2 linked regions of the Callithrix jacchus genome follow. The protein of the gene in region 2 binds, or shares a complex with, the protein of the main gene of each other region. Links are inferred from orthologs where the notes say so. Each region holds a gene or a part of one and is shown on either strand. Other genes may lie near its edges.

Region 1 (7,640 bases), on a different chromosome or scaffold from region 2:
AAGATAAATTAGTCTTAGCATAGAAAAAAAAATGATCTTTTTGAAAGCAAAAATTTATGTCTTTGAAACAAGTATGACTTAGATAAGAAAATCTAACAGACCACACATATAACATCTACAGACAAATAGTACAGGGATATCAATAAAACAAACCCAGGTGTTCATCACTCTATTCTCTCTACTTCTGTAAATGTTTAAGGTCTAAATCTCTCATGCACAACATAAAGAATATATAACATAAAATTGTACTGTATTTGAGATTCATGCTAAATGAGTAGATTTTAGCTGATCTTGCCCAAAAATAAAAAAGGGTAACTATGTGAGATGATAGATATGTTGATTTATTTCACTGTAGTAACCTTTTAACTATCTATACATATCCCATAACATCATGCTGTATACCTTAATAATACACAATAAAATTTATGGATGTATTTACCTATGCATGTACATCCCCCAGGCTGGAGTGCAGTGGCACAAACACAGCTCACTGCAGCTTCAATCTGGGCTCGAGCCATCCTCCTGCCTCAGCCTCCCGAGTAGCTAGGACCCAGGTGTGTGCCAACACCACTCCCGGCTAATTTTTTTATTTTGTAGCAACAGGATCTCGCTATATTGCCCAGGCTGGTCTCAAACTCCTAGTCTCAAGCCATCCTCTGCCTTGTCCTCTCAAAGCACTGAATTAAAGGCAACTGCCTACGTTTTTTTTAAATTTCTATAATAAAAACTAAAATAAAGACATCTTCTATCTAGATATACCATTTTTTCACCTATCAAAAGTTTGACAATAATGTGGTAAAGGCGTAGGAAAATAGGGACTCTCAGAAACTTCAAGCAAGAGGGAAAACAGACAATGTTTATGGAAAGCAATTTGACAATGTTTGTCAAAATTACAAATGCACATACCTGTTGACGCAGCAGTCCCACATTTAGGAATCTGTCCTATATATACACCCGGACATGCATGAAATTACAATGCAGACAATAATTCACTGGAGGGAAGGTTGTCATAGCAAAGACTGGAAACAACCTATTAACTAGACATCAATAAGGAGAGTTGGCTAATAAATTCTGGTACATTCATATAACCAAATTCTCAGAAGCCATAAAAAAGAAAAACAAAGTTATGCGGGTACAGATATAGAAAGGTCTCTCTAAGGTATTAACCTCAAAAAACAAGGTACAGACAAAGGTATAAACTGCCATTTAAGCAAAAGAAGGGAGGCCAGTAGGCAGAAGTGGGAAGCAGGCTTTTACAGAAAAGTCCTTTTGCATCTTCTGAATTTGGAACCATGTGACTGTAATCTTAGGCCCCAAAGAAAATCTCATTTTAAAAAACGCCATCCTTTGCAAAGTACTATTGCCATTATAAATTTAAAAACCATTTAGAATACTTGTTATTCTTGCTATATTTGCTAACTATGTGGCAGGCTATATTTCAAGTCAAGATGGAGTTCAAGAAACTTTCATTATTTTAAAAGGCATAGAGAAATACTGCACATAGATGAAAGGGGACCAGTAGATCAGACAGAAGATCATCTGATGAATGGTGCCTAACCCTGGATATGCTTTAGAATGACACAGGGCTCTCCTAAAAATACCAATGCTCCGCACTCCACCCCCAGCACCCCCAGACCATTTACAACAAAAATTCCGGGTATGAGGCCCTGGCCTGAAAACCACTCATGTAAACACTTCCAAACAGCGGTTCAACAGAAGTCCAGAGGACATTTTGCTCCCCCAGGGGACATTTGTCAATGACTGAAGACATGTTTGGTTGTCACAACTTGGAGTGGGAAGTGTTCATGGCATCTAGTGGGGAGAGGCCAGGAATGTAGCTCAACTTCCCACAGTGTACAAGACTGCTCCTACCAAAATTACCTGGCCTGAAATGGCAAGAGTGCTGAGGTTTGGGAACCCCTGCTTTAAAATAAAATTGCTGCTTCTGAAGTAACCACCAGTTTGAGCTGCCACTTTTAAATATAGGAAATAATCTCCTTCTTTACTGATGTGCCATACACTCACATTAAGAAAGCTATTTACCAAGGTTGTAGCAAACTATGTACATCCTGCGTATCTTCTTTCTCTGGTCCCTGTCTAGTTACTATAGTCGAAATGTATGTCCCATTTGTAAAGTACCCATGGAGAAAGGCATAAAGTTCATAAATTAGCAGCCTGTGGCCCAACTTGATCCATCTGTGTATTTTGTTTATGCCAAAGTTCTCTTAAAATATCCTGAATTGGTGCCAATCAGCTGCCCCTTTGGAGCTAGCCATATACCAGGAATTTGTCACAGTCCTCATCTCATGCTTATCCACTGCCTGCTACTTGGTGCTTTCAGCATCCGAGTTGGCCCTCTCCCGCAGTTTTCTCCAATCATACAGGGACATGAAGCCTCTTCACTCCTCCTCTCTCCTCACCTTAAAAATATCCAACACCCATTCTGAATTCTCCAACTCCCACATCACTTGCCAAAATAGAACTGCTATCAAGAGACAGAACTAAGAGAAAAGTAGAAGTAGAGATGGCCTTTTTGCGACAACTTCCTTCTTTTAGTTGTCCTGTCATTAAAGATAGGCTGGTTAGCACCTGATTCATCTCTGGGTGTTACAAGCTAGCCTTGTCATTTCTAGCAAATTCCACTACAATGAAATCTAGCACTTCTGTGCACTTCCTTATAAGGAAAACATTAAATTATTATGCTTCTCTCATGACCTTAGTGAATCCCTCCGCCCCTCTCAAAATAGGTCAGAAGACTTTTATGGGAAATAGCTATCAAAAGATTTGGTAGTTTTCTTTAAGAAACCTCATGCCTTTTCCTTTGAAATCACAATTGTATAGTTGTGAACTGTGCTTTTAAAGATCGCCTGATACAGTCTACACGTTTTATTAATGAGGAAAATGAGCTCCAAGTGACGTTTGGTCACTTACTCAAGGCCACGTTCTGAATTAGTGGCAGAGCCAGGATAGAACATTTGTTTCCAGATACTGGCCCCACAGGTTTTCCATACTAATACTATCCCCCCTGTGGTTTTCCTACTCACTCAACATCCTTGCCAAGATACCTATTACCCTGGGTAGACACTAGCTGCTATGGAAATTTAACTTACCAAAATTTTGGCCAGCTACTGGACCTATCACTTAAAACTTTGAGAGTGGAAGGAACTAGGAGTTTCTGGATTCCTTTTGTTCCTTTTATTGTGAATTACCCTGTGTCACTTTATGTTAATGAAAGGCTGATACCTTCAGAATCTTCCCTAAACCATAAATTAAAGATGGAAAACTTGCCTATATTTATATCAACAGCAACATTTTCTAAACTCTAAAGTCAGAAACTGCCTCAAACCTCTATAATTCTCAAGATGGTAAGTAAAACTACCAATAGCTTTTGGGAGTGAAGTTTTAAGATGCAAAGATCAACATCTCATTGAACTTTGACTTTCATCATCATCCTCTGGCAAAGAGGTTTCTAAAATTTTCATTTGGTCTCAACTTTAACCTATTCCTCTCTTGCTAACCTCGCTTAAAAAAATAATAAAAGTATGGAGATCACTTTTTGCATATCAGGTCTTCCTCAAATGTTCTACCTACTCTGCACTTTAGTTTTTATGGCCAACTACACTATCACTGACACCTTTGACGTTTACATAAAATTCATTAACAGATAGCCCACTATTTCCCCTCAAGAGCGTAGAACATCTTGGCTGCTGGATTTGATTTTCCTTCAGGGATGCTGAGTTCTATTCTCATACCTCAATGCATGCGTTTTACTTTTAAGTGTTTCACAACCAGCTCCTTGGTTTTCTGAGGAAACGTGATCCAGTTAACAGAAGGTGTGGAATCTATTCCCATCTCAGCTAGGCCTGAGGCAGGCTGGGAGCCCGGATAATCCGTGAAAGCCGCCCACCAGCCCACCGGACAGGAAGAATGGGGTGGGACACCAAGTGAGAAGAGAAACGAAAGGTGTTGGCACTGAAACCAGAGTTGTATTAGACCCTGCTGATGCTAGGAACCCACGCGTCCGCTCTTCCCAAGCATCTACCGCGTGTGCAGTCCAGGCCTCTAATTGCTTTAACGTAACCTTATGAAGGCAACAGTTCGAGTCCTGCCACTCTGGCCACACTGTAACACTTTAGACCAGAAAAGGAACAAAATGCCACTGCATAGTCTATTCAACCTCAAGGTATTTCTAAACAGTTCTTACCCAGCCAAAAAAGAAAAATCTAAACATAAAAACATTGAAAAGCCACCCACATCTCGTTCTGAAGTTTTAAGGGCTGTGAGGTTTAGTGTCAAGGAGATTTGAAGTTAACGATGGTAGGTTTGGGGAGTCTCGCCAGCGATGAGGGTCCTGCAACGAGACGCGGTTTCTGTGTCTCCGGTAAGTCCCAGGCTCGGTGTGAGGGTGCCAGGCCCTGCCCCTCCGCGCCCCGAAATCCGAACCCCAGGAGAGCCCCCCCTCCCCGGATATCCCCTAGCCCTGCCTGCGATTCCCACGGGCTTTACCCCAAAGCCGCGGAGACCCAGGGTGGCAGCCCGAATGGCGGCAGCCCCGGGCCCATGGGGACCCTTGGCCCCGTACTCACCGAAGTCCAGGAACTGTTTGATGGAGAGCGGCGACGGCGAAAAGCGCGAGTAGCGCTCGATCTGCTTGGGCACCGGCTGCTTCAGCAGCCACCGGAACAGCCGCATCCTCGCCGGGGCGGCTCACAGACCCGCCGAGACGCTCGAGTAGCCGCAAGGGCTGGCGCAGCCGAGCCGCCAGGACCTCGCACGTTCGCTAAGCCCGCACCCCGGCCTCCGTCTCGGCCTCGGCACCGCCGGTGCAGCCGCCGCAGAAGCAGCAGCAGCTCCCGGACCGCCACCGGCCGCCCGCCGCTTCCCTAAGCTCCGCCTCGTTAGGCGGAGCCTTTTGTTGCACGTACGCGGCGCGCGAGGGGCTGCGTGGAGCGCGAGGGGCACGCGGCCGCGCGCGCCCTACACTGATTGGCCGCCACCGCCTCTGTGACGTTTTTTTATGTTGTTGCGGAGTGCGGCGCGGCGCCCTAGCCCCCCGCCCTGGCTCTTGGGGCTCAGCCCAGCCCAGCCCAGCCCAGCCCAGCAAGTGTAGCCGCTTTCGGCTCCGCCCCTGACAGGGTTCTCCGCTGCCTAAAAGGTAGCCGAGGTGCCCGCGGACTGGGAAGAGGCCGGGAGCCAGGAATTCGATCCTCCGTGCTGCTCAAAAGCCTTCTCAACCGCAGGCGCCTTTTCTGGGAGGAGGACTTGCAGTTCCAGATGTTCACTGCATCTTGCCACTTAGATTTTACAGCCTAACTAGACTGTTTTATGCCCTCCATCACTACTGCCACTTTTGGACAGAATTTAATGAAACCTCACAGGTTCTATTTTCTGACCGCTTCCTACCATTGGACAGCCTTAATTGTCATTTCACTGACTCTTATGACATGGGCCCCCCAGCTCCACCCCCACCTCACTCCCGAGAGAACACCTTTGGACGGGATTGTTAGGTCCCTGATTCTCTTGTTTCCTGGTTCCTTGCCCCTTCTTCCCACACAAGATAAGTCACTGGTTGCGTTTCATGTCCCCTCCCCACCACCATTGGACGGGATCCATTGTGAGATCAAGGGTCACTAACACCCCCCATACACCCCCAATGTCACTGGACAATATAACTGCAAGGTCACTGATTCTGTTTGATGCCCCCCAGCCCCACTACTACCATTGGAAAGAATCAAATAAGCTCACCGACACTCTCTTTCATACCTCTTCTCTACCACCAACACCATAGGACAGCTCCCTGACTGCTTCACAATTCACTACCACTTTTGGACAGGAGTCTATGCTTACACAGTGTTGGGTATTCTCAAGTAAACTTGAGAGCCTGGCATGGTGGCATGCACCTATAGTCCCAACGACTCTGCAGGCGGAGGTGGGAGGATCACTTGAGCCCAGAAGTTCAAGATCTGCCTAGGCAACATACCCAGACCCGCCTCTAAAAAAAAAAAAAAAAAACCTCAGGACTCAATATATGAAATTGTTATTTCCTATTATGAATGAATAAAGTACTGCTTGCTTTAGCCATTTCCACCAAACCTTGGCTTTTTTTTTTTTTTTGGCAATATGTAAACATAAACATACATAATTAAGAGGACGGGAAGAACGTTCTTTAAGGCAAGGTACAAATGTGACTGGAAGCCACTCCATGGGTCTTTACTTGGACTGGTTTCTCACTGAATGAGATTATTGGTGGGTAGCTATTTAGCTTTTGTGCCCTCATTGGATGTTTATGCAGCCAGTTCTTTGCTTAATAAAATAGTTGCATGTCTACTCTGAATTTAAAGAAAAGTAACATACATGGTAAAAGACATCCAGTGGTCTTCTAGACTTCTGGATTTTCAAGAACATATTGGTCATCTTGGCAGTGGTATGGAGACTACCATGTCTTTTCCATTCAAATCGAACCAAAGGATAAAAAAAAGACATACTAACAACTTCTTTAACCAGGAGTATTACCAGAAGAACTAAGCAATCCAGTTGTGTGCATGGGCAGGACGAAGAGAAGACCAGTGGCCTATGGTGTCCAAAGTGACTCTCAGGTGCTACCTGGAAGTGGAGCAGTAATTGGTGACAGTTGTTGGTGAGCAGGAAGAAGCTGGATATTTGTGGAGAGGGAGATTTTCTCAGCCTAAGCAACAAAGGGCTGATCTTTCTGAGCTTCCAAATCACTTGTTTCACTTCTTCCTTTTCCACTGCACAAAATGCTACTTAAAATCCATTCTGTTGATTTATTTAAACTTTTGTGTGCCTAATTTTATTTCTGCTTCTTCAAAATGTGACAAAGTTCTAGAAGTTGGGAACAATATGAAAGAACCCGATATAATGTAAAATGTGCTTAAACAAGGCTACAGTCACCTAGACTGTGTTGCAGTTATTTTTGTGTCAGATTAAGATACCTGATTTCTCTCCCTGGCATTTGTGACAGTCAAATCAAATTAATCATATCTAATATAAATACAAGGTATTGCACCTCTTGTATACAGCAATGCATATATTTTTACCTAATAGTTTCATGATAACTTGCAGAGTCCAGAAGTGAAACCAGTGTGTTGATAAATAGATCTTGATGACGTCTTTTCAACTCCTTGTACACACCAAGGTCTTGTGCAGACCCCACTTGCTGTGGCTCTCAAAAGTGAAATCCCTAGACCTGCGGCAGCAGCATCACGTGAGAACTTGTTCGAAATGCAAACTCGGGCCAGGTGCAGTGGCTCATGCCTGTCTAATCCTAGCGTTCTGGGAGGCAGAGGCCAACGGGTTGCTTGAGCTCAGAAGTTGGAGACCAGCCTAGGCAATATGGCAAAACTCGTCTCTACTAAAAATACAAAAATATTAGCAGGGCATGGTAGTGCACTCCTGTAGTCCCAACTACTTGGGGGGGGCTGAGATGGGAGGATTGCTTCAGCTCAGGAGGTGGAGGCTGCAGTGAGCCAAGATTGCACCACTGCACACCAGCCTGGGTGACAAAGTGAGACCCGGTGTACAAAAAAAAAAAGGAAAGAAAATGCACGCATGCAAGAGAGAGAGAGAGAGAGAGAGAGAGAAGGAAGGCAGGAAGGGAGATAAATGCAAACTCTTAGACC
Region 2 (7,081 bases):
TCCCAGGTTCAAACAGTTCTCCTGCCTCAACCTCCTGAGTAGCTGGGATTACAGGCACATGCCAACAGGCCCAGCTAATTTTAAGTAGAGATGGGGTCTCACCATGTTAGCCAGGCTGGTCTCAAACTCCTGACCTCAGGTGATCTGCCTGCCTCGGCCTCTCAGAGTTCTGGGATTATAGGCATGAGCCAATGCGCCCAGCCTAGACTGAGGTTACTTTCATGTCTGCTAACATAGCATCCATGCGGTAGCCCATGGATCAAGAAGTAATTTTGACTTGTGAGTCTTATTATTTAAGAAATTCATTTCATAAGGCTATAGTTGCCATACATAGTATTCCTGTGATGGATCTGAGCAAAGGTAAATTGAAAACCTTCTGGAAAGGATTCATCATTTTATAAGAACATTCATGTAGCCAGGCGCGGTGGCTTACGCCTGTAATCTCAGCACTTTGGGAGGCCGAGACCGGCAGATCACCTGAGGTTGGGAGTTCAAGACCCAGCCTGACCAACATGGAGAAAGACCATCTCTACTAAAAATACAAAATCAGCCAGGCATGGTGTATATGCCTGTAATCCCAGCTACTTGGGGGGCTGAGGCCAGAGAATTGCTTGAACTCAGGAGGCAGAGGTTGCAGTGAGCTGAGATTGCGCCATTGCACTCCAGCTTGGGCATCACAAGCGTAACTCTGTCTCCAAAAAAAAAAAAAAAAAAAAAAAAAAGAACATTCATGTCCTTTGGCAGCACATATACTAAAATTGGAATGACAGACAATTAATTAGCATGGCCCCTGTACAGGGATGATAGTCAAATTCATGAAGCATTCCATATATTTTTTTAAAACATTCATGATTCATAAGAGGATATCAAAATATTGCCATTTACAACAGTTTGGAAGAAGCTACTTCCAGCCGTCATAGGTAACTTTGAGATGTTCAAATAGTTTAGTGGAGGAAGTAACTGCAGATGTTGGTAGAAATAGCAAGAGAACTAGAACTAGAAGTGGAGCCTGAAGATGGGAATGAATTGCTGCCATCTCATGAGAAAACTTGAATGGATGAATAGTTGCTTCTTATGGATAGGCAAAGAAAGTAGTTTCTCGAACTGGAATCTACTGGTAAAGAGGCAGTGAACATGGTTGAAATTACAACAGGATTTAGAATATTCTATGAATTTAGTTGACAAAGCAACAGCAGGATTTCAGAGCATTGACTCTAGCTTTGAAAGCAGTTCCATGGTTAAACTGCTATACAGCATTGCATGCTACAAAGAAATCTTTTGTAAAAAGAAGTCAGTCAGTGGGCAAACTATTGTTAGCTTAAGAGGCCGCTGCAGCTGCTCAGTCCTCAGCAGCCATAACCCTCATCTGTCGGCAGCCATTAACATCAAGGCAAGATCTACCAGCGAAAAAATTGCAGTTCACTAAAAGTTCAGATGATTTTTAGCATATTTTAGCAATAGAGTATTTTTAAATTAAGGTATATACATTGGTTTTTTTGCTAGCCATTATGCTGTTGCACTCCTAATAGACAACAGTGTAGTGTTAAGTATAACTTTCATATTTTCTGGGAAATCAGAAAATTCGTGTGACTCACTTTATTGCAATATTGGTGGTCTGGAATCGAACCTGCAATATCAAGGTATTTCTATGCTTAGGTGAAAGGATTGAGGCTGTCTGTTCGTTCTAACCAAACACCAGTCATTTACTTGTTGATACAGCCATTCAACATGTATTATTGGATTCAGCGGTCAACAATATCGGGAACACTATCCTTACTGTCTCAACCGGAAGATGATCAAACAAGCAATATTATAATAACTTAATCAAGAAAGCAGTATTTGCTGTGTGACACCTTGGCGAGAGTCCTGTGATAATTAATGAGTTATACACTGTTTTTGTTAGAGCAGGTCCCCTGTGTTAGTTTGCAAGTGACAAAATTCTGCTCCAGCCAACTTAGGCAGATTGGGGATTTAGTACCCATTGAGCTGGAGGTCTTTGGAAGCAGAGCTGTGCCTTTGTGTGAAGCCTTAACTTTTTCTCGATTGCAGAATACCAGCAGGGGCCCTTATACAGACCCCAAGGAGACCGTGGATAAAATCCATGAGCTTGTGAACTTCAGTGGGAGTGGTGGGGAAATCACTTGTTTTTGTTTTTGTTTTTTTTTTTACTAACCTCTACTAACATTTAGCATTTCTTCCTTTTATAAATGTAGAGAACAGATACAATGTTAACAGTACTTGTGTCTGGTGACCAATAAAAATCAGTTATTTTCATATCACATTGTAAATGTATATATCTCAAAATATTATTTTGTTCATCCCTGCTTCAAAATGATAACCATTATTAGACCTGCACCAAGGTCTTCTTATTGTATGAATGCAGAAGCACATTTGTCGTAATTTTGCTTTTTGAACAGTTTGATAACTGGATTTCATTATGGTTTCTGTTTCTTTTGTTAGTAATTTGAGTATTTTCAGTGTTAAGGTATTCTGAGATAAGATCTAAATGCATAGGGTCACCTGCTGTAGAAAAGATTGGGACTCCTTACTTGATGACAGTAAAAGATGTGATACTGTGAAAAAAAAAGATTGGGAACCCCTGCTTTTATGTTCTTCTGAGGTACCACACTATGTGTCCACTTCTGTTTCTTGCTACAATGCAGTTGTTTTCCCTCCATTTTTCCTTTCATCTGCTCAGACTACCTGCAGAGACTCAACTCCAGCCAATGTACTGCCACTCAAAATCCAAGGAGTTCTAGTTGGTGGGGTTTTTTTCCCAGCTACATTCATGTGTGGGTCAAGGCAGATGGTTTTTTGTTGTTGTTGTTGTTGTTTTTTGGTGGGGCGAGGGCAGGTGGTGGTTGGGGACAGAGTCTTGCTCTGCTGCCCAGGCAGGAGTACAGTGGCACGATCTCAGCTCATTGCAAACTCCACCTCCCAGGTTCAAGCAATTCTCCTGCTTCAGCCTCCTGAGTAGCTGGGACTACAGGTGTGCACCACCATGCCCAGCTAGCTTTTGTATTTTTAGTAGAGACAGAGTTTTGCCATGTTGGCCAGCCTGGTCTCAAACTCCTGACTTCAAATGATCCACCTGCCTTGGCCTCCCAAAGTGCTGGGATTACAGGCATGAACCATTGTTCCCAGCCCTCTGATTCATTTTAATTTTAATTTTTTTTTTTTTGAGACGGAGTTTCGCTGTTGTTACCCAGACTGGAGTGCAATGGCAGGATCTCGGCTCACCGCAACCTCCGCCTCTTGGGTTCAAGCAATTCTGCCTCAGCCTCCCGAGTAGCTGAGACTACAGGCGCACACCACCATGCCCAGCTAATTTTTGTATTTTTAGTAGAGACGAGATTTCACCTTGTTGACCAGGATGGTCTCGATCTCTTGACCTTGTGATCCACCTGCCTCGGCCTCCCAAAGTGCCGGGATTATAGGCGTGAGCCACTGCGCCCGGCCTGATTCATTTTTAATAACTGAAAGTCAAGGAGAGGGGACAACAAAATGTAAAAATTAGGATAGATATCATCTTTGGCTAAACAGTAACAGACACATTGGTTGAAAAAGTTTTGGAAGTAAATAATATTCTTGTTAACCTGGCACATAAGCTCTTAATAAACACTTTTTGATTATTTCTATTTCTTTTTCTTTTAAACAGAAATCATGTTGTTGATGTCAGTGTTGCAGTCAGTACCCCTGCAGGACTCATCACCCCTATTGTGTTTAATGCACATACGAAAGGACTGGAAACCATTGCTAATGATGTTATTTCTTTAGCAAGCAAAGCAAGAGAGGGTAAACTGCAGCCACACGAATTCCAGGTACAGTATTAATTATTGCTTTCTAATTACATTATTTTTAAGGTTTGCATAATGCATTTATTGCATTTTTCACCTTTTGATTCTGCCACATAATTATTTTTATTTTTTAATTTTTTGAGACAGCGTCTAACTCTTGTCATCTAGGCTGGAGTGCAGTGGTGTAATCTCGGCTCACTGCAACCTCCACCTCCCAGGTTCAAGTAATTCTCCTGCCTCAGCCTCCTGAGTAGCTGGGATTACAGGCACATGCCACCACACCTGGCTAATTTTTTTGTGTGTTTATTTTTAGCAGAGATGGGGTTTTGATCTGAAGAGAAACCAGAGTATTCATAGAAATAGGGTTTCACTGTGTTGGCCAGGCTGGTCTTGAACTCCTGACCTCAAATGATCCACCCACCTCAGCCTCCCAAAATGCTGGGATTACAGGTGTGGGCCACCACGCCTGGCCTGCCGTGTAATTCTTACTGACACACGGTTCTGAAAATAAAATCTCAAACTCTATTGCATATACAAAAGGAGACATTGTCTGATAATAAGACATTTTCCAGGTGACTTTTTTGTTCATATTGTAATGCTTGTATATTTTCAGTACTGTGTATCCCATTCAGGCCTTTCCTAAGACCTTGCACCTTTTTAGCTTAAAGTCTTTTCACAGAACATTTGTCATGTTTTCTGATTTATGTTGACAAACAGTGTAATCTATTTTTAATATTTTTTCCTCTAGGGCGGCACTTTTACGATCTCCAATCTAGGAATGTTTGGAATTAAGAATTTCTCTGCTATTATTAACCCACCTCAAGCATGTATTTTGGCAATTGGTGCTTCAGAGGATAAACTGGTTCCAGCAGATAATGAAAAAGGGTAAGTGCCAAACTGGAGGGGAAGTCATAAGCTAATTTTCATTACATTATACACTTGTCCTGTGGCATCTTCAGGATTGGCTCTAGGAACCCTCAAATACCACAGTTCACAATGCGTAAGTCCCTGACATCAGATGATGTAGTGTTTGCATATAACCTACACATCCTTCTGTATACTTTAATCTCTGCATATCATACAACACTGAATAGCACTTCATTCATGTGGATCCTCTAGTACCCAGGATGCAGCAAATTCAAGGTTTGCTTACTGGAAATTTGTGGAATTGTTTACTTTTCAGAAATTTGGGTCCATGGTCAGTTTATGGATTTGGAACCCATGGATAGATATATGGAGGGCCAACCATACCTATTTTTGAGTATCAGTGTTTTTGTTTGTTTGTTTGAGATGGAGTCTCAATCACTCTGTCACCCAGATGGGAGTGCAGTGGTGCCATCTCAGCTCACTGCAATCTCCACCTCCCAGGTTTAAGAAATTCTCTGGCCTCAGCCTCCTGAATAGTTGGGATTACAGGCATGCACTACCATGCTTTGGCTAATTTTTGTATTTTAGTAGACATGGGGTGGGGTTTCACCACGTTGGCCAGGCTGATCTTGAACTCCTGACCTCAAGTGATCTGCTCGCCTTGGCTTCCCAAACTGCTGGGATAACAGGAATGAGCCACCGTGCCCAGCCAGAGTTTCATTTTTTGAGGTGGAAAGCCTTTATCCTAGGTGAGGAGTCAGCATGCTTTTTCTTAGTCGTAAGTAAGTATTTTAGGCTTTCTGAGACATATGGCCTCTGTTGCATTGTCATGTGAAAGAAGGCATAAACAATACATAAATGAATTGCAGTAAACCTTTACTTATAAAAACTTAGAGGGCAGGATTTGGCTCATTGCCCACCTATACTGCAGGTATATGGTCTGTTTCTTCAAGCTATTAATTTGAGCTAAAGGTATAGGAGACTGGAAGAGTAGATACGAAATATTGCCTGGTTGGGATTTGAAGGTAAGAGTGAGCATTTGGGTGGTTACTGGCTGAAATGCAGTCTTTTCTTTCAGAATATCTAAAATGTTTTTATCTTTTTCCAGGTTCGATGTGGCTAGCATGATGTCTGTTACACTCAGTTGTGATCACCGGGTGGTGGATGGAGCAGTTGGAGCCCAGTGGCTTGCTGAGTTTAGAAAGTACCTTGAAAAACCTATCACCATGTTGTTGTAACTAACTCAAGAATTTCTAAACTCTCCCAGGTCACACTCATTCATTCTTATCAAGATATTTATATGTTATTAAACAGGTGGTTTTTATTTTAAAGTTAAGCAGTTATTTTTATTATTGAGTCTGTCCAGATAAGTTATTTATAATGGGCATTACTGAATTTTTAAAATGCCAATTACACCCAAATATTGTGCACATTTAATAATCAGACACCAGATTTTTAGCTGTATACTCCTAGTTAAGGGACATGTGGACTTGCCTAGCCCTTTGGTGATAAGTACATCTACTAGGAAATGTAGGATAGGTAGGATTGTGGTTCCCTAAAGACAAGTACATAAAGGTAACCTGGGTGAAACCTTGAAGTTCTGAAACTTAATTTCCTAAAATGTTCTCCTTAAGATGTGAGAGAAAGAGAAATCAGGAAAATTAGTTCTCTTGGAGGAAGGGCTTGAATTGAAGCTTTACTTTAGAATTTAACCTTGGTTTAAAATTTTCCATTACATGATCTTTGTTTACCATGAATGGGAAGGGTAGAAAACTTCAAGGAAAATAAGTGAAATTTTAAGAGTCAACATTTTCTTAGAGGTCTTCAGCTGATTGTTTATTTTTCTATAACCTGTACATGGTTGTTTCCCCCCTTGAGATAATGATCTAAATATAAACAAGCTACCTGATATGAGAATTTGTGTGATTTATTTAAACAAATGTGTAATTTTGAGTACAGAATTCAACTGTTACCTCCAAAAAAGAAACATTTTTAATAGAATTTAACAGAAGATGTGAAACTAGAATTTTCCCTCTAAGATTAATGGGAAACTCATTGTAAATGAACCTAATTAACAGAATTTATTACTCCACTCTGGAAAATGCTGTCAGATAACTAAGGAATATATATGGAATAAATGTACATATGTAAAATATGGTTACTAGAGTTAGAAATGTGCCAAAGTCCATTTATCCCAAATCCTATCTGTAAAGAAGAGGAGGGGTACATTGGTAAACATTTTAGAGTGCTTAAAAATGCCAAAAACAAAATGGTAATTTCTACTTGGGTAAAGTAAAAAAAAAAGTGAAATGTGTGTAAAAAAGTGTTTTGTGTCTTTCTACTCCAGCATCGTCTCATTTAAAGGAAGAAAGCCCTAAAACACTATTGCAGAGAAAATATTAACTAGGTTGCTACCT

What was found. The genes of interacting proteins can lie anywhere in the genome.
Region 1: the proteins of DLAT (region 2) and PDK3 are in contact, whole or in part, in a crystal structure (PDB 1Y8N), measured with the Homo sapiens proteins. The link is inferred for Callithrix jacchus from reciprocal best matches to the Homo sapiens genes DLAT and PDK3. Residues at the interface, in NP_001922.2 of Homo sapiens: Ala225, Leu226, Ser227, Pro228, Thr229, Glu248, Gly249, Lys259, Ala260, Ile262, Glu265; in NP_005382.1 of Homo sapiens: Arg21, Phe22, Ser23, Pro24, Ser25, Pro26, Leu27, Phe48, Lys51, Val55, Asn373, Lys374, Ser375, Arg378.

Annotation. Positions count from the first base shown.
Region 1 is NC_133524.1:25,192,333-25,199,972, reverse strand, and holds the start of PDK3 (pyruvate dehydrogenase kinase, isozyme 3), read right to left. Parts: upstream 4,886-7,640; 5' UTR 4,693-4,885; coding exon 4,587-4,692; intron 1-4,586. UniProt on the Homo sapiens protein: Inhibits pyruvate dehydrogenase activity by phosphorylation of the E1 subunit PDHA1, and thereby regulates glucose metabolism and aerobic respiration. Can also phosphorylate PDHA2.
Region 2 is NC_133511.1:11,759,432-11,766,512, forward strand, and holds part of DLAT (dihydrolipoyllysine-residue acetyltransferase component of pyruvate dehydrogenase complex, mitochondrial), read left to right. Parts: intron 1-732; exon of another isoform or gene 733-835; intron 836-3,658; coding exon 3,659-3,821; intron 3,822-4,545; coding exon 4,546-4,682; intron 4,683-5,772; coding exon 5,773-5,902; 3' UTR 5,903-7,081.